Xenopus tropicalis: one gene and its partners. The protein of the gene in region 1 interacts with the protein of each later gene in a biochemical or structural test. Links are inferred from orthologs where the notes say so. Each region holds a gene or a part of one and is shown in the gene's direction. Other genes may lie near its edges.

The links.
Region 2: of the proteins of mbp (region 1) and prkcz, one has a biochemical effect on the other in vitro, tested with the Homo sapiens proteins (2 studies listed by BioGRID). The link is inferred for Xenopus tropicalis from reciprocal best matches to the Homo sapiens genes MBP and PRKCZ.
Region 3: the proteins of mbp (region 1) and tlk1 form a complex in vitro, tested with the Homo sapiens proteins (2 studies listed by BioGRID, with this or other methods). The link is inferred for Xenopus tropicalis from reciprocal best matches to the Homo sapiens genes MBP and TLK1.

The regions. Positions count from the first base shown.
Region 1 is NC_030682.2:98,825,279-98,829,987, forward strand, and holds the start of mbp (myelin basic protein), read left to right. Parts: upstream 1-1,366; 5' UTR 1,367-1,561; intron 1,562-4,709. UniProt on the Homo sapiens protein: The classic group of MBP isoforms (isoform 4-isoform 14) are with PLP the most abundant protein components of the myelin membrane in the CNS. They have a role in both its formation and stabilization.
Region 2 is NC_030683.2:91,420,695-91,424,875, reverse strand, and holds part of prkcz (protein kinase C zeta type), read left to right. Parts: intron 1-1,069; coding exon of another isoform or gene 1,070-1,090; coding exon 1,091-1,151; intron 1,152-1,524; coding exon 1,525-1,574; intron 1,575-2,875; coding exon 2,876-3,064; intron 3,065-4,181. UniProt on the Homo sapiens protein: Calcium- and diacylglycerol-independent serine/threonine-protein kinase that functions in phosphatidylinositol 3-kinase (PI3K) pathway and mitogen-activated protein (MAP) kinase cascade, and is involved in NF-kappa-B activation, mitogenic signaling, cell proliferation, cell polarity, inflammatory response and maintenance of long-term potentiation (LTP).
Region 3 is NC_030685.2:67,966,584-67,970,764, forward strand, and holds part of tlk1 (serine/threonine-protein kinase tousled-like 1), read left to right. Parts: intron 1-440; coding exon 441-551; intron 552-2,262; coding exon 2,263-2,399; intron 2,400-3,844; coding exon 3,845-4,033; intron 4,034-4,181. UniProt on the Homo sapiens protein: Rapidly and transiently inhibited by phosphorylation following the generation of DNA double-stranded breaks during S-phase. This is cell cycle checkpoint and ATM-pathway dependent and appears to regulate processes involved in chromatin assembly.

The DNA.
Region 1 (4,709 bases):
AAGCAGATTTTTCCCCAGTATGCCCACGTAAAGTGGGTGCTATCAGGCTTAATTAAAACAACAGAGATAGGAGTGGTTGGAGTGAGGACCGCATCCATGAGCCAATGCGGTCCCTGATCTGTCTAAAAAAACCAAACTTGCCTGATCGACAGTCGATTTTTGGTCAGAGAACAGTTGGATAGAGCTGTTGGAGGTCCCCATACACAGGGGGATAAGCTGCTCATTGGTTAGCAGCACAGCAGTGAACTGCTGCCTTGCAGGACTGGCAGGGTGGATGGAATCGGAAGCAAATTTGGGTACCCGGAGTCGGAGGAACATAAACTGAGCTGTTAGAGTCAAAGGATTTATGTGTGGACTCCATAGCCCTGCCAGGGCTGTGGAGATAGATTTGTGGGTCCAGAGTTGTAGTCAAAAGCAATTTTAGGTACCAGGAGTCGGAGTCAAGGTACCATAAACTAAGGAGTCGGACTTGAAGGATTTATGTATCAACTCCACAGCCCTGAGGACTGAGGTACCAGGCCTGACTTCAGTATTGGGTAAAAGGAGATTAGAGTAGCCTGAGAATGGGAGGTAATGAGAAGTGAAAAGATCACCTGGACCAAAAAAATAAAAAATAAATAGCACCTGGGCCGCTTTTCTAACAAATGTAATGGTTTCCCAGGTTTAAAAAAAAGTTGGCTTCCAGTGGGGCAAAAGTAGGACAAAATACACCAGAGAGGGCTGAAGTGATGATGTGGGAGACTCCTCTTAATGGATTATGATGGGGGGAGCCTTTTATACAGCTAGGGGGGATGCTGGATCACAAGCAGTGCAGTCACCATGATTTCCAGCACTTGTGTGCACATGATCTTACTGTGCCACCCCTTGCAATTCCTGTTGTTACTTTTGCAAAGATATATTTAGGGCAGGGTCGCTATGAGTGTTTAAAAACCTTTCTGAAGGCTTTATTAAAGTGTCAGGTCTGTAGGCAGTTATCACGTTTCTGGTGAGATGGCAGAGAATGTCACTGAGGTATTACCCTTAGTTTTCAGTTTTGCTATCCCATTCTGCCTCACTATTACCAACATTTCACAGTACACAGCATTCTTGCTAATGGCCGTCCCACTGAGGTGACACAGCTCACCTTCATACTAGTGAGCGCCCTAGAACTAAGGCAGCCAGGTTTGCAGCACACGGGGAGAGAATGCAATGGCATTCCAGCAGGGGGCGCATTATTACCTCCGAGTCCGCACTGACATTAGCAGCAGCACCCACACGGAAGGGGAGAAATCACGCACGGTGCTGCACCTCTTTGCGCTGCAGGAAGAAGGTTTCCACGGCCCCATCCCGGTGCTGCTGTAACCTGCACACACTGCTGGGGGTGGGGCAGGCTGGTTAGGCGGGAGGAGGGATACGGTGCTGAGCCCCGCTGCGAGGAAGACTGCACAGCCTGGTGTCACCTACAGCCCCCTCACCTCAGAGATCAGCTGAAGGCTCTCCCCAGAGCTGCCCCCCACCTCTCCATCGCTGCTCATCGCTCTGCAGTCCTCGGACCCACGGGAGGCGCCTTTATGTGTAAACGGTGGGTGCTATAGCGGGTGTCCCTCCCCCTTCCTATGCCCTGTTTGTATATCATGCGTGCAGGGTCAGCATTGGCTTTTATTGCCCCGACGCTCCCATTCCATAAACACGGTGCCATGGAGCAGATTCCCCAGACTGGAATGTAATGGGCTCCTGCAGCCAGAGATCGCGCCTGGAGCTGCTCGCTTATTGCACACAGGACTGACAGGAAATCTATCTCTCTCTCTGTGTGTGTGTATATATATATATATATATATATATATATTGCAGTAGATGTAGGTTACACCGAGAACACTTCTTGATTAACGTGCGGCCTTCCAGCTGTTATTAACTATTACCCCCAGGAAACACTGATATCTTGGAAGTTGTAGTTCAGTAGCCGGGGGCCCACAGGCTAAACGAAAGCCAAGTAGATTTGGGCCACAGAATAGGAGAGACAACCATATATATATCAATGGGGGGCACTGGGTATAGTGCCATTGTAGTTGGGCCATTGGTGCCTGACGGAAGCCCTTTCTACTATTGCTGTTTTGCTCAGGTCGCTTCCGGTTTCATGTACTGTCAACTTACTATTTTTTTTTCAAGAAGGCAAAAAAAAAAAAAAACCAACAACTTCTGTATTCCCCGCCCCCCACCCAGGAAGCTGAGCTGTAGTAAAGTGAGGGAAGAAGATAGCAAAATAATGTGGTGTGTTTGTCACTTCCTTTCTCTGCTTTGAACACCTGTGGCTTGGCTGCCAGCATATCATGCAATGCACACAATTAAATCATTGCCTAATCCTCTCAGCCTCCATCATCATTTTTATTATCCTATGTAGTAGGGCAATTTACCTCAGGGCTGTACTTATTACAGGGAGGCCTCAGTCATGCTGCAGAGCTTCATATCATGCCATGACACAGATTTACACACCACTCTGCTGGATTCCATTTTCAGAGGGAAAATTTATGTTGGAATGTAAATGCCTTTCTGCTGGTTTCACGGAAATCACACAGACATTCATTTTCTGGGCAACTCTATAGAGATAAAATGGGATGTGCTGTTAGGCTGGCAAGAACTGTAGCACGTGTAGAAACCTCTGTATATAGCATGGTTTATATCCATTTCTTACACATTATTATTAACATAAACATGTAAGATGCCATTGTATTCCGCAGTGCTATAAAACAGAAGTTTTGAATGTGAAGGAGGCCAAACATACTTATATTTATTGGGGCAGTTTGTCCATTTTTAGCCACACTGCTTTATCATCAACCACACTGCCTGCAACATCTTTGCATTTCAGTCTTAAGCTCTTAATGTACCTGCTGATGCCACATGTGGGTGGGTGCTTGGGTATTGACAGGTAGGCAAGTTAGAGAAACCACAACACCCACTCATTTCCTCTCAAATCATTTTTACCAAGTCAGTCTCATGACAGATATTTGTCGGTTCATTAATCTAGCAGGGAAAACTTCATTTGCCATTTTACTATTTCCACCAGTGCATAGTGCTTCAGCAGATGAGAAAGCTGCGTCTCTTTTTCACTTCCTGCTTTTCTGTTTGTGCTCTCATTCCAAATGAAGATAACAATATAAAGGTGACTGCCATGGATGACCCTTTGTACAGTATCTGTTCATGTGGCCCAGTTGCCAATCAGTTCAATACTGCGCAGGATCATTTATGGCCACCTTAGGGTGAAGACATACAGAGCGACTAGTAGCAGCTACTTGTCACAGCTACTAAAATAAGCAATGCTGATCTTTTACTGATAATTGTCTCTACATGTGTTTTACAAGAGGCAGTTCTCATTTTTGTCTTTGGCAGGGTATTTTCTGGTGTTTAGTAGCCGTGAGAAGTATCCGTTCATGTGGCCCAGTTGCTAATCAGTTCAATACCGCACCGGATCATATATATATATATATATTTACTCTTATGGGTGAAGACACACAGAGCTACTAGTAGCAGCTACTTGTCACGGTTAATACAATAGGCAATGCTGATTTTTTACTGATAATTGCCTTTATGTATTTTTTACAAGAGGCAGGTCTCAGTATTGTCTATGGCAGGGTATTTTCTGGTGTTTAATAGCTGTGACAAGTGGTTGCTACTAAGTAGCTCCATGTGTCTTCACCCATAAGGGTAAGAACCCATGGAGTGGTTCAGAGGGGCTTTTCACAAGCAACTCCTATTGTTGCCTTTTCGGAGCGGTTTGTCACCCACAATAGCAGAGATCTATCGCTGACGACTGAGTCTAGGTACTTACCCTAAAGCTGGCAATACACAGGCTGATTGAAGCTGCTGACGTGGTCCCTCCAGATCGAGTTATCAGCTTATTGGCTTGTGTATGTAGGCATCACTGTATGATGCGTTTGTTTGCCCCAGGGGCAATGACCAGAGCCCAATTCGGCCCAGGGTATGGGTGAATAGAGATCCGCTTTTTGGGGACCTCACTGAATGGGGTGAATTTGCCAGTTTAACAAAAGATTTGATCTGATGAAAGTCAGCAGTGTAAAGAAAGTGTTAGAGTATATTTTGGTAACTGATATCTGTTTTTAACCTATGTAATCTAAGACTGTATGGATTATAAAATAATTAATAAGAAAATAAGTAGGATAAATGAGAACACTTCCTGCTGCCCTTAATATAGGTTTGCACTAACACATAAAGGCAATGTATTTATTTCATTTGTCGTGACTTTTGCCTCTGGCAACCAAATACCATATCTGACAAATAAGACTACTGTGAAAAAATAGATGGCACTAATTTGATGTTTTTTATTGCAATAGATGTGTTTTTATGATCAGCTATAAGTGGGCTGATTGGGGTACACTCACTGTTCAAAGCAACCAATTCGGTCAGGATTATCAGAGGCCAATTTGGTACATGCTTGGCCTTCTTGAGGGGATGGACAGGGAGACTTTAAGACACTGTACAGTGGATATGAGGAAGATATTTTGTTAGGGTTTATTGTACAGTTAAGGACTTAGGCTACTGCCACACAGTATGTTTTATCTGCTGACTGGGAAAACATCAATATGGCTCCAAGCCACACAGGCAGGCACCCATTGACCTTTATGACAGTTACATGTTACTGTGGCCAGGGGGGTAAGGTTCGGAAAGAAAATTAACATTTCAGCATTTTCTGACCAAAATTTGTCCAGTTTACAGTG
Region 2 (4,181 bases), on another chromosome or scaffold:
GTACTCATGAACATAGAATTTAAGCTCTTCTGGGCAGGAATCTCATTTTAGTTGCATATGGCATCTCCTAGCATGTATGCATTTGTTCTTGCTGGTTAATTCATATTAACCTTTGTTTGTGTTTAGGCCTTGTAAGCACTTCATGCACTTGTGGTATTGTATAAATAATAAATACAGTATATGGGTTTTATGATGTTCTCAGTGACACTGGTGTATTGCTTTAAGATTCAGACTGTGCAGTCTGGCTTGCAGCCTGTGGTGTTGGAAGCAATATTAGAATATCTACCTATATGCTACTAGTTTACTCATTATTAGCCTGTTTGGATGCCATACATATTGTCTGACTGCTGTCCACGAGAGCAAGTGTCTCATTTACTGGCTAAATTATAGGCGAGTTACGATTAGTCCTGCTGCTGTACACTCCTGCATGTGCAAGGACATTTAGGGGCATATTTTTATAGTGTGTAAGTCAACATCACTGGTGATGATGCCTATAGTCACCAATCAGATCTTTGTTTTTGTTTTCTAACTTGTAGATGACCATTCAAATCTAATTGCTAATTGGTTGCTATGGGCAACATCACTGGTAATGTTGGCTTACACACTATATAAATTGCCCCTTCCCGTTCATCTTGAGCATAACATTACAGACCTCATATATCTATAACTGACCAAATATACCAGTTTGGGACTATTCTGTTGTAATCATCCAGCTGACTTTTCCTCCCTCAGGAAATAGCTTTCCTACCCACTGTTCCGGGAGGGGTTAAAAGCGCATATTAATTGAGACAGGCTTTATCAGAAATCTTTGTACCAAGCATCTTGATGAGTCCTCTTAAAGGACAAAAAGGTGTTTAGGATGCAGGGCACGCACAGCTCTGGTTATATCTTCTTCTTCTGAAAGATTGGAAGATATATTTTGCTCTTTTCGTTGATATGGGTCAGGCTGTCATAGAAATTTACTGCTACATGAACAATTACTTCTCTCTTTACACCACTAGATTTAGGGAGCAGGAGAATATCAAGATTGTCTGGAAATTTAACCCCAGCTTGTGTATGTTTATAACAGGATTTGGTCATGCCTTTCCAGGAACCGCAAGTAGATGACAAAAGTGATGAAGTTGATCCTCCCTCTGAAGAAATTGATGAAAGTAGGTTAATTGCATGTCATACAAAATCTTCAACATGCAACAAAACATACCGTGTCAGAGACTGTACCCACCTTCTACATGCTTATGTCTTGTGCAGATATTTAGGGCTAAATTATGCAGCATTCCAGCATCATTTGGAAACTCACAGAGAACTTGTTTTGCTTGCACTTACATAACTGTTTGGTCTGCACTGGTGTCACGACCAAATGCACTGTGCCCTTTTTGAAATATGAACAAAAACATGTGAACCCCATTACAGCTTGCATCTGTTCAGACACTTGGGTGATTAATCAGATATCAATAAGAAAAATGAATTGTCCTAGGAAAGTGCTAGTAAAACCAAAAGCAATCACTTTTTTCTTTTCTCTCTTAGTTTCCATTATTGCTCCAAGAAAACATGAGAATCGTAAGGATGGATCTGAGGTGAGAGTCCAAAGATAGTGAAATCTGTATAGAAATCTATATAGACTGAATTTATGGGACATTGTAAGTCTGTATACCTTATTAATGAGCTCTGTTCCCCCTTTAAAGCACAAATAGTGTTTGGATGATAAATTCCTGTAGCAGGAGAGAAAGGACTTCTGAAAGTTAGAGAAGACCATTTTGCTCTCAGAGAATACACATTTCCACAAGCAGACAGTCACTGTTTTTAACCCTTTCTTAAAGTAGTACTTCATAGTATATTGGAAGCTTCTTGAAAATAATTACCATCTCTTCACACAAAAATATTTGTATAAATGTTAGAAGATAGAACTGTGTATCCTTTTGGGGGCTCTGCTATAGGTCCTGAATATAATCACAAACAGGCCATTCTAAACATTTTACATTACTTGCACATTATCCTCAAAGAATAACACATCATTTCATACCAAACAGCAGATGTGTCCCAGTGCTCCAAGGCCCAAGAGAGCTCATCCACTTCTCTCCTTTTCCCTATAAAATGCAAGTGGGGAGAAGCAGATGGTATTGCCAGGTTCCTAGCCCTAAAAAAGGAATCTGTTTTATTGTATAGCTGTAAAATCAGAAAGTTCATGGTGCTGTGGAATTTTTTTCTCAGCTATTGTTAGTCCCTCCTTATCTGCAGTTTCTAGGACTAGGTTTGCCCTTAGAGAAAAAAAGCCTAAATAACTCAGCAAAAAACAGTTTAATGTGTTAGGACATAGCTTAATGGTTAAACTGGGTTTTTTCTTCCATCTGCATCTGGTTGACATGACATACTGTGCCCTTTGACAGAAGTTTCTATAGTACTGCTTATGATAATGTCTGCTTATAAACAATAGAGGAAGCTGCTGTATTAATGTTGATTGTAAATGCCACAGTCAGTGCATGATAGTCCTCTGGTGTTTGTATAAATATCTATGTACATATAAGGAATGCTCTGTGCAAGTTAGCCAGCCCTTCAGCCTACAAACATGGTTGGTCAAATTGGCCAGTAAGGGACCTGGTATTGAAATAAAGATTAGCATTGCAGCTATATATTCTCTTTGGGCAATTATTGTAAGGGTTTGCTTTGTGATATAGTTAGTCTTACTGCTTTCCTGACTAGAAGTATCATTCCTTTGTTGCAAACACATAGGCAGAAACAGGCATTTGGTCAGATTTATCTGCCCTTATGTGCCCAGCTTGTTTGGCTGAAGCTAAACAGTAAATGGCAGAGCTGCAAACACTTTCCACTAGCACCTATCACTTTCCAACATGCTACAATTTCTTTCTGATTGTTTTAGGACCTTAAACCAGTCATTGATGGAATGGATGGGATTAAAATCTCCCAAGGATTAGGACTTCAAGACTTTGAACTTATACGGGTGATTGGAAGAGGAAGCTATGCCAAAGTACTTCTGGTGCGCTTAAAAAAGAATGACCAGACCTATGCTATGAAAGTAGTGAAGAAAGAACTTGTACACGATGACGAGGTACGGATGAGCCCTGGTGTGGTACAAAGATATCTCTCTTTTTATAGTTTTGTCGCTGCTCCTTAATGGCACCCATTTACTTGCTCTTGTTTAAGAGCCTATTATAGATTTTTGAGTGTTCTGTTTGCCATTATTAAACCATGCACTGTGTAAAGTACCTGTGTCCATTACAGTTTGTCATTATGTGAATGAGCTTTAGCTTAATAAGATGCACTAGCTGCAGCGGGTGTCTCTGATAAGTGGCTAATCTACATTACAGGAATCAAAACTGCCCAGGCAATCCCTAGCCTTCCGGGCAGATAATGTAATGTGTTCTTAGTGTTTCATTAATTAAAGCAATTAATCTTATGTCCTTTTCTTCTGTCTCATTTATTCCACTAGTTGTTATCTTTTATGCACAGTAAGTTTTTACACATGTGTCACAGACATGTTACATAGGACTTTAACTATCCAAACAATATTCTAGCTATTTTAGCTCAGGGCCACCACTAAAATATTGTTGTATTTGTACGGGTCTTCTAGAAAATTTTTATGTCCCAAAAGTCAGCATGAATTAAATTAGTTAATGTCTTTGCTCCGATAAACTTACTTTAACAGATATTATATTTATAGTGTATTTGTGGCAATAACTAAGGTTTTAAAAAAACAAAAAAAACAAACACAAGTCTGTAAAAACCATATGATTATGTAAAAATATGTATTTATATAAAAAGACACAGATACTGGAATATTGTTAATATCAGAAATTCTGAGATTCAGTGTATTTGCTTGAATCTTATTTTAGGATTAACAGTCCTTAAAGGAACAGTAACACCAAAAAAAGAAAGTGTTCTAAAGTAATTGAAATATAATGTGCTGTTGCCCTGCAATGGTAAACTGGTGTGATTGCTACAGAAACACTACTATAGTTTATATAAATACGCTGCTGTGTAGCCATGGGGGCAGCCATTCAAGCTGGAAAAAAGGAGAAAAGGCACAGGTTACACAGCAGATAACCGATAAGACACCATTGTACTCTACAGGGTTTATCTGTTAGCTGCTATATAACCTGTGCCTTTTCTTCTTTTGAATGGCTGCCCCCATGGCTACACACCAGGGTTTATATAAACTCTAGTAA
Region 3 (4,181 bases), on another chromosome or scaffold:
CACAGCCATGTGACCTGTGCTCTGATAAACTTCACTCACACTATACTGCTGAGCTGCCCCCCCTGCAGCCGATCAGATCAGAATAGCGCTCAATAGTAAGAAACCCAGGTCCGGCTTGGGACTCCTACAGTTACATGGGAGTAGGAGAACCAATAGGTTACCTGAAAGCAGTTCTAATGTGTAGCGCTGGCTCCTTCTGAAAACTCAATTCACTGAGTTGGCGCCTACGCACCAATATTACAACTAAAAAAAAATAAATTTGTTGGTTCAAATATAATGGAGTTTTAATATGCCTTTAATTTTTACACTGTCAATATTTCCTGTTTCTTCTTTTTTTTTTTTTTTATTTATAACAATTATAGAGAACTGGGTAAGAATTATAGAGAACTGGGTAGAATGTTTGCTTTTGGACTGATAGTATTTGTCTTTGTTCTTTGCAGACTAACTGTGACCTTAGGCGACAAATAGACGAACAGCAAAAAATTCTTGAAAAGTATAAAGAGAGATTAAATAAGTGCATTTCAATGAGCAAAAAACTCCTGATAGAAAAGGTAAGTGCTGGGGAATTGCTGCTTGCTTGCCACTAATTCCTGCTGTGCCCCAGAATGTTTCAACATTCCAAGTCTGGACTTGCCCCAGGCCAGAAATTTTGCAGTCAAATTTTTATGCCCAGTCACAAATGCTCCCTCTAAGCTACATGGAACTTCAAGAAGTGATAGATTCTGGGAGTTGAAGTCCCTCTGCTTTCCATGGTGGTCAGGTGGCAGTTTGGCCGTCACATGTGGTGATGATGATTGGTTAGATAGCCATGGTCTCTAACTGTGGGCACTTTGGCCACACTCTCTTGTTGGCTAATGTATGATACATTGACAGGTTAGAAATAACAAAGGCCACACTTTGCTACCTTTTGTGCTCTGATCTGCTTATTATAGAGATGGTTACATGTCCAAACATAAAGCCTGACAGGACTGCTATGTATTTGACAGGGGGAAAGTGTAAATGTCACGTCAGAATGAGTAATCAACATTTTTATTTCTTTTCAGAATTATGGCAATTTTGTTTTCCCATAAATAAACTCCATTGCCTAGCAATGTTCAGGACTGGTTTACAGCAGGATAACTAATGGTTTCCTTCTCAGAAAAGGCCATAAGATTTTTAGATTTGAAAATGAGCTCTGGCACAAATCAACCCATTTCTGTGTATCCACATTTTCTACCTAATTAGTCCCTGAGCTTTATGTAGCACTCACAGAGGAAAGGGTGCCCTTATTTCCCTTTCTGTTTCCTTCCACTGCCCATAATTACCCAGCTAAACAACATATGAAAATATATTTAGCCCTTTTAGTTCAAAGGGCACCTCTAATAGTACAATTATTCCCCCTGTTGGAGGCGTTGGGCAGGCCATAAAGGCCAGGCCTAGGGCAGCACAAAAATTAGGGACTGCATGCTGGGCTCATCTCAATTGGGGATTGGGTGAATGAGTGAATCATTTTGACAGTTGTTTGAATCTCCCACCTGCAGGGGTGTTCGAGTGGGTGGGTGGGGGGCGGTGCGAATCTCCTATGGTGCATCAGCTTTAAATCCAGCCCTGGGCGGGGAATAATGGAACCTTTTGGCCAGGAAGCCAGTAAATGCTCCTAGCGAACACTATGTCGCCTGCTCTGTCAGGTAGCTCCTTGTCCAGGCAGTCTTGTTGGGACTCTAAGTATGAGAAAAATAATAAATGTCCCAAATCGCTCACGATTTAGGATGAAGGGAGAAATCCCCAGATTTTACATAATGCACATAATGAGAGTCCTTATTATGCATGTGTGTGATCAAACATGGCTACCCACATGCGGATGCTCCCTCCCAGTGTGGGGCAGTATAGTGCTCACTAGGAGCATTTTCTGGCCAAAATAGTATTGTTGTGTTAGCCTGCATCTCTGGGGAAGGAAACAGTTTTGCTATGCTAGATTCTAATGGCACACGGAGCAATGTTCCTTCTTTGACCTAAATAAGTGTTTCCAAGCATTAAAGGTTTGATCCAAAGGTTCACCTGCAGAATCCAGGAGATTACCATTTAGTTCAGTGGGGCCAATGCCCTGTGTTCCATGTTAAGTAAATATTTAATGCAATAACACACCAAATATAATTATTTATTACAGGACACCTTAGCAGAAGGAAAAAAAAACAACAAAAGTCTAATGTGATGAAAAGTGTGTTAAAGATAGAGCAAACTAAATGTGCTAAACTATAAGCCACTTTGCCTGATTTCTTACAGAGCACCCAGGAGAAGCTGGCAAGCAGAGAGAAGAGCATGCAGGACAGGTTACGGCTAGGACATTTCACCACAGTTCGGCATGGAGCCTCTTTTACTGAACAGTGGACAGATGGCTTCGCTTTCCAAAACCTTGTCAAGTTAGTCTTTTGTTATGGAATCTCTAAAATTTCTCTTGTCATTGAAGGCAATAAGAATAGGAGCCAAATGATGTCATGGGGCTGTGCTGGAAATAAGCGTTGGGAGGACCTTGCTGGGGCTTAGAGCACAGAAGTTATACACGTGGCATAGTCAAATCAAACAATACCTTACATTTAGCCAGTGAATAAAGGGGAGGTGTGAGAAACAGGATTAATAGAACAGAAGATTTATCAGATATTTGTAGAGGTGAAAACATGTAAATGAATGCAAAATGTTTCTGCAAAGATACAGGGACCTAACAAAACACAGGAAACAAGGAATTCATTTTAAAGGTGCAGAATTCTAATGCTTAATGTATTAGAGTTACAGCATGCGCAAAATATCGTGTAATATAGCACTGCTAAAGTTATATGCATAGATACATATACATTCCCCCTAATGTTTAATACTAACCAATCATATGATAAGATTATGACAATCTTTGTAAAAAGAAAAAAAAAATACGTAACAAGTGAAAGGGGTGCAAATTTAGTTTAATTTATCATCAGGGGAGTTTGTAGATCTGTGGAACACGTGGCATATTCTGGACCTCCAAGTGCCTGATCATAGACTTTCCTTCTCTCATTAAGTCTAATGGAAGTCATATGTGGAACAGGGGCACCTTACTCCTCTCACAAAGTGATTTTTAGTTGACTTGAATGGAAAACTAAGTACCCATGGCAGATATTCTTGCCTGTTCTGGTCCATTCTGCGGGTATAACTCGGAAACACTGCGGCCTTGGTTGGTATCTGCCATTGACAGCATGCTTCCAATTGGAGAATGAGAGCTGCTGAAGTGGCATTTTTATTTATTTTTTTTGTTTTTCTTTACTATGGTTTTCGCACGTAGTGCTGAATCTTCCATAAGGCTAAGTGATAAACCTGCCTCAGATGGCAGTGTGCAGCATGTGATTAAACACAACCCTTGTTCACTGAAATTATGGTTTTTAAATGAGTCAGGTGACTGAGGCTCATTAGGCTTAGGAACATCCCAGGTCACCCGGGAAGTCTGTTGAAATCAGATAAGACATTGAGGCTTGAAAGGGGTATAACGTTTGACCTAAGAAGCACCAAGAATATATATATAAATAATAAGTAACTATACACAGTTGTTGTAAAATAAGAGACTGACCATTGGTCACTACCTTGGGAAACCTTCCTGATTTTCAGTTGATTAAACCTCATATAGCTGTTTATTCAAAAAATACTCTTGATATGGCAAAATTACATGAAAATATGTGATTCATTAGCACCTCTTGCATACGCCTACATCAGAATGGCTCCATACAGTGGTAAGCACCTATATTGTGTTGCCTGGAAACCGGTTTCTGCACATTTAGATTTTAATGGCATATTCTTCCTTGTATCTTTTGTTCCTTTTGTTCAAGTATCTGTTTATTTACAGGCAACAGGAATGGGTGAATCAGCAGAGAGAAGATATTGAAAGACAAAGAAAACAACTGGCCAAGCGGAAGCCGCCATCATCAAACAGTTCCCAGACTCCCTCCGCCAACTCAGAACCAAAGCAGCGGAAAAACAAAGCTGTAAATGGAGCTGAAAATGACCCCTTTGTAAAACCAAGTTTACCACAGTTGTGAGTAGCTTTTCATGTCAACCTTCTTCCCAACATAATGTTGTGTCTTGCTCTGTCCCTGACTGATTATTATATAAGGAAAGATGAATGGCAGGGGTCTGCATGTAAGCTCCAATGGATTACCTGTGTGCACATTTTCAGCCATATT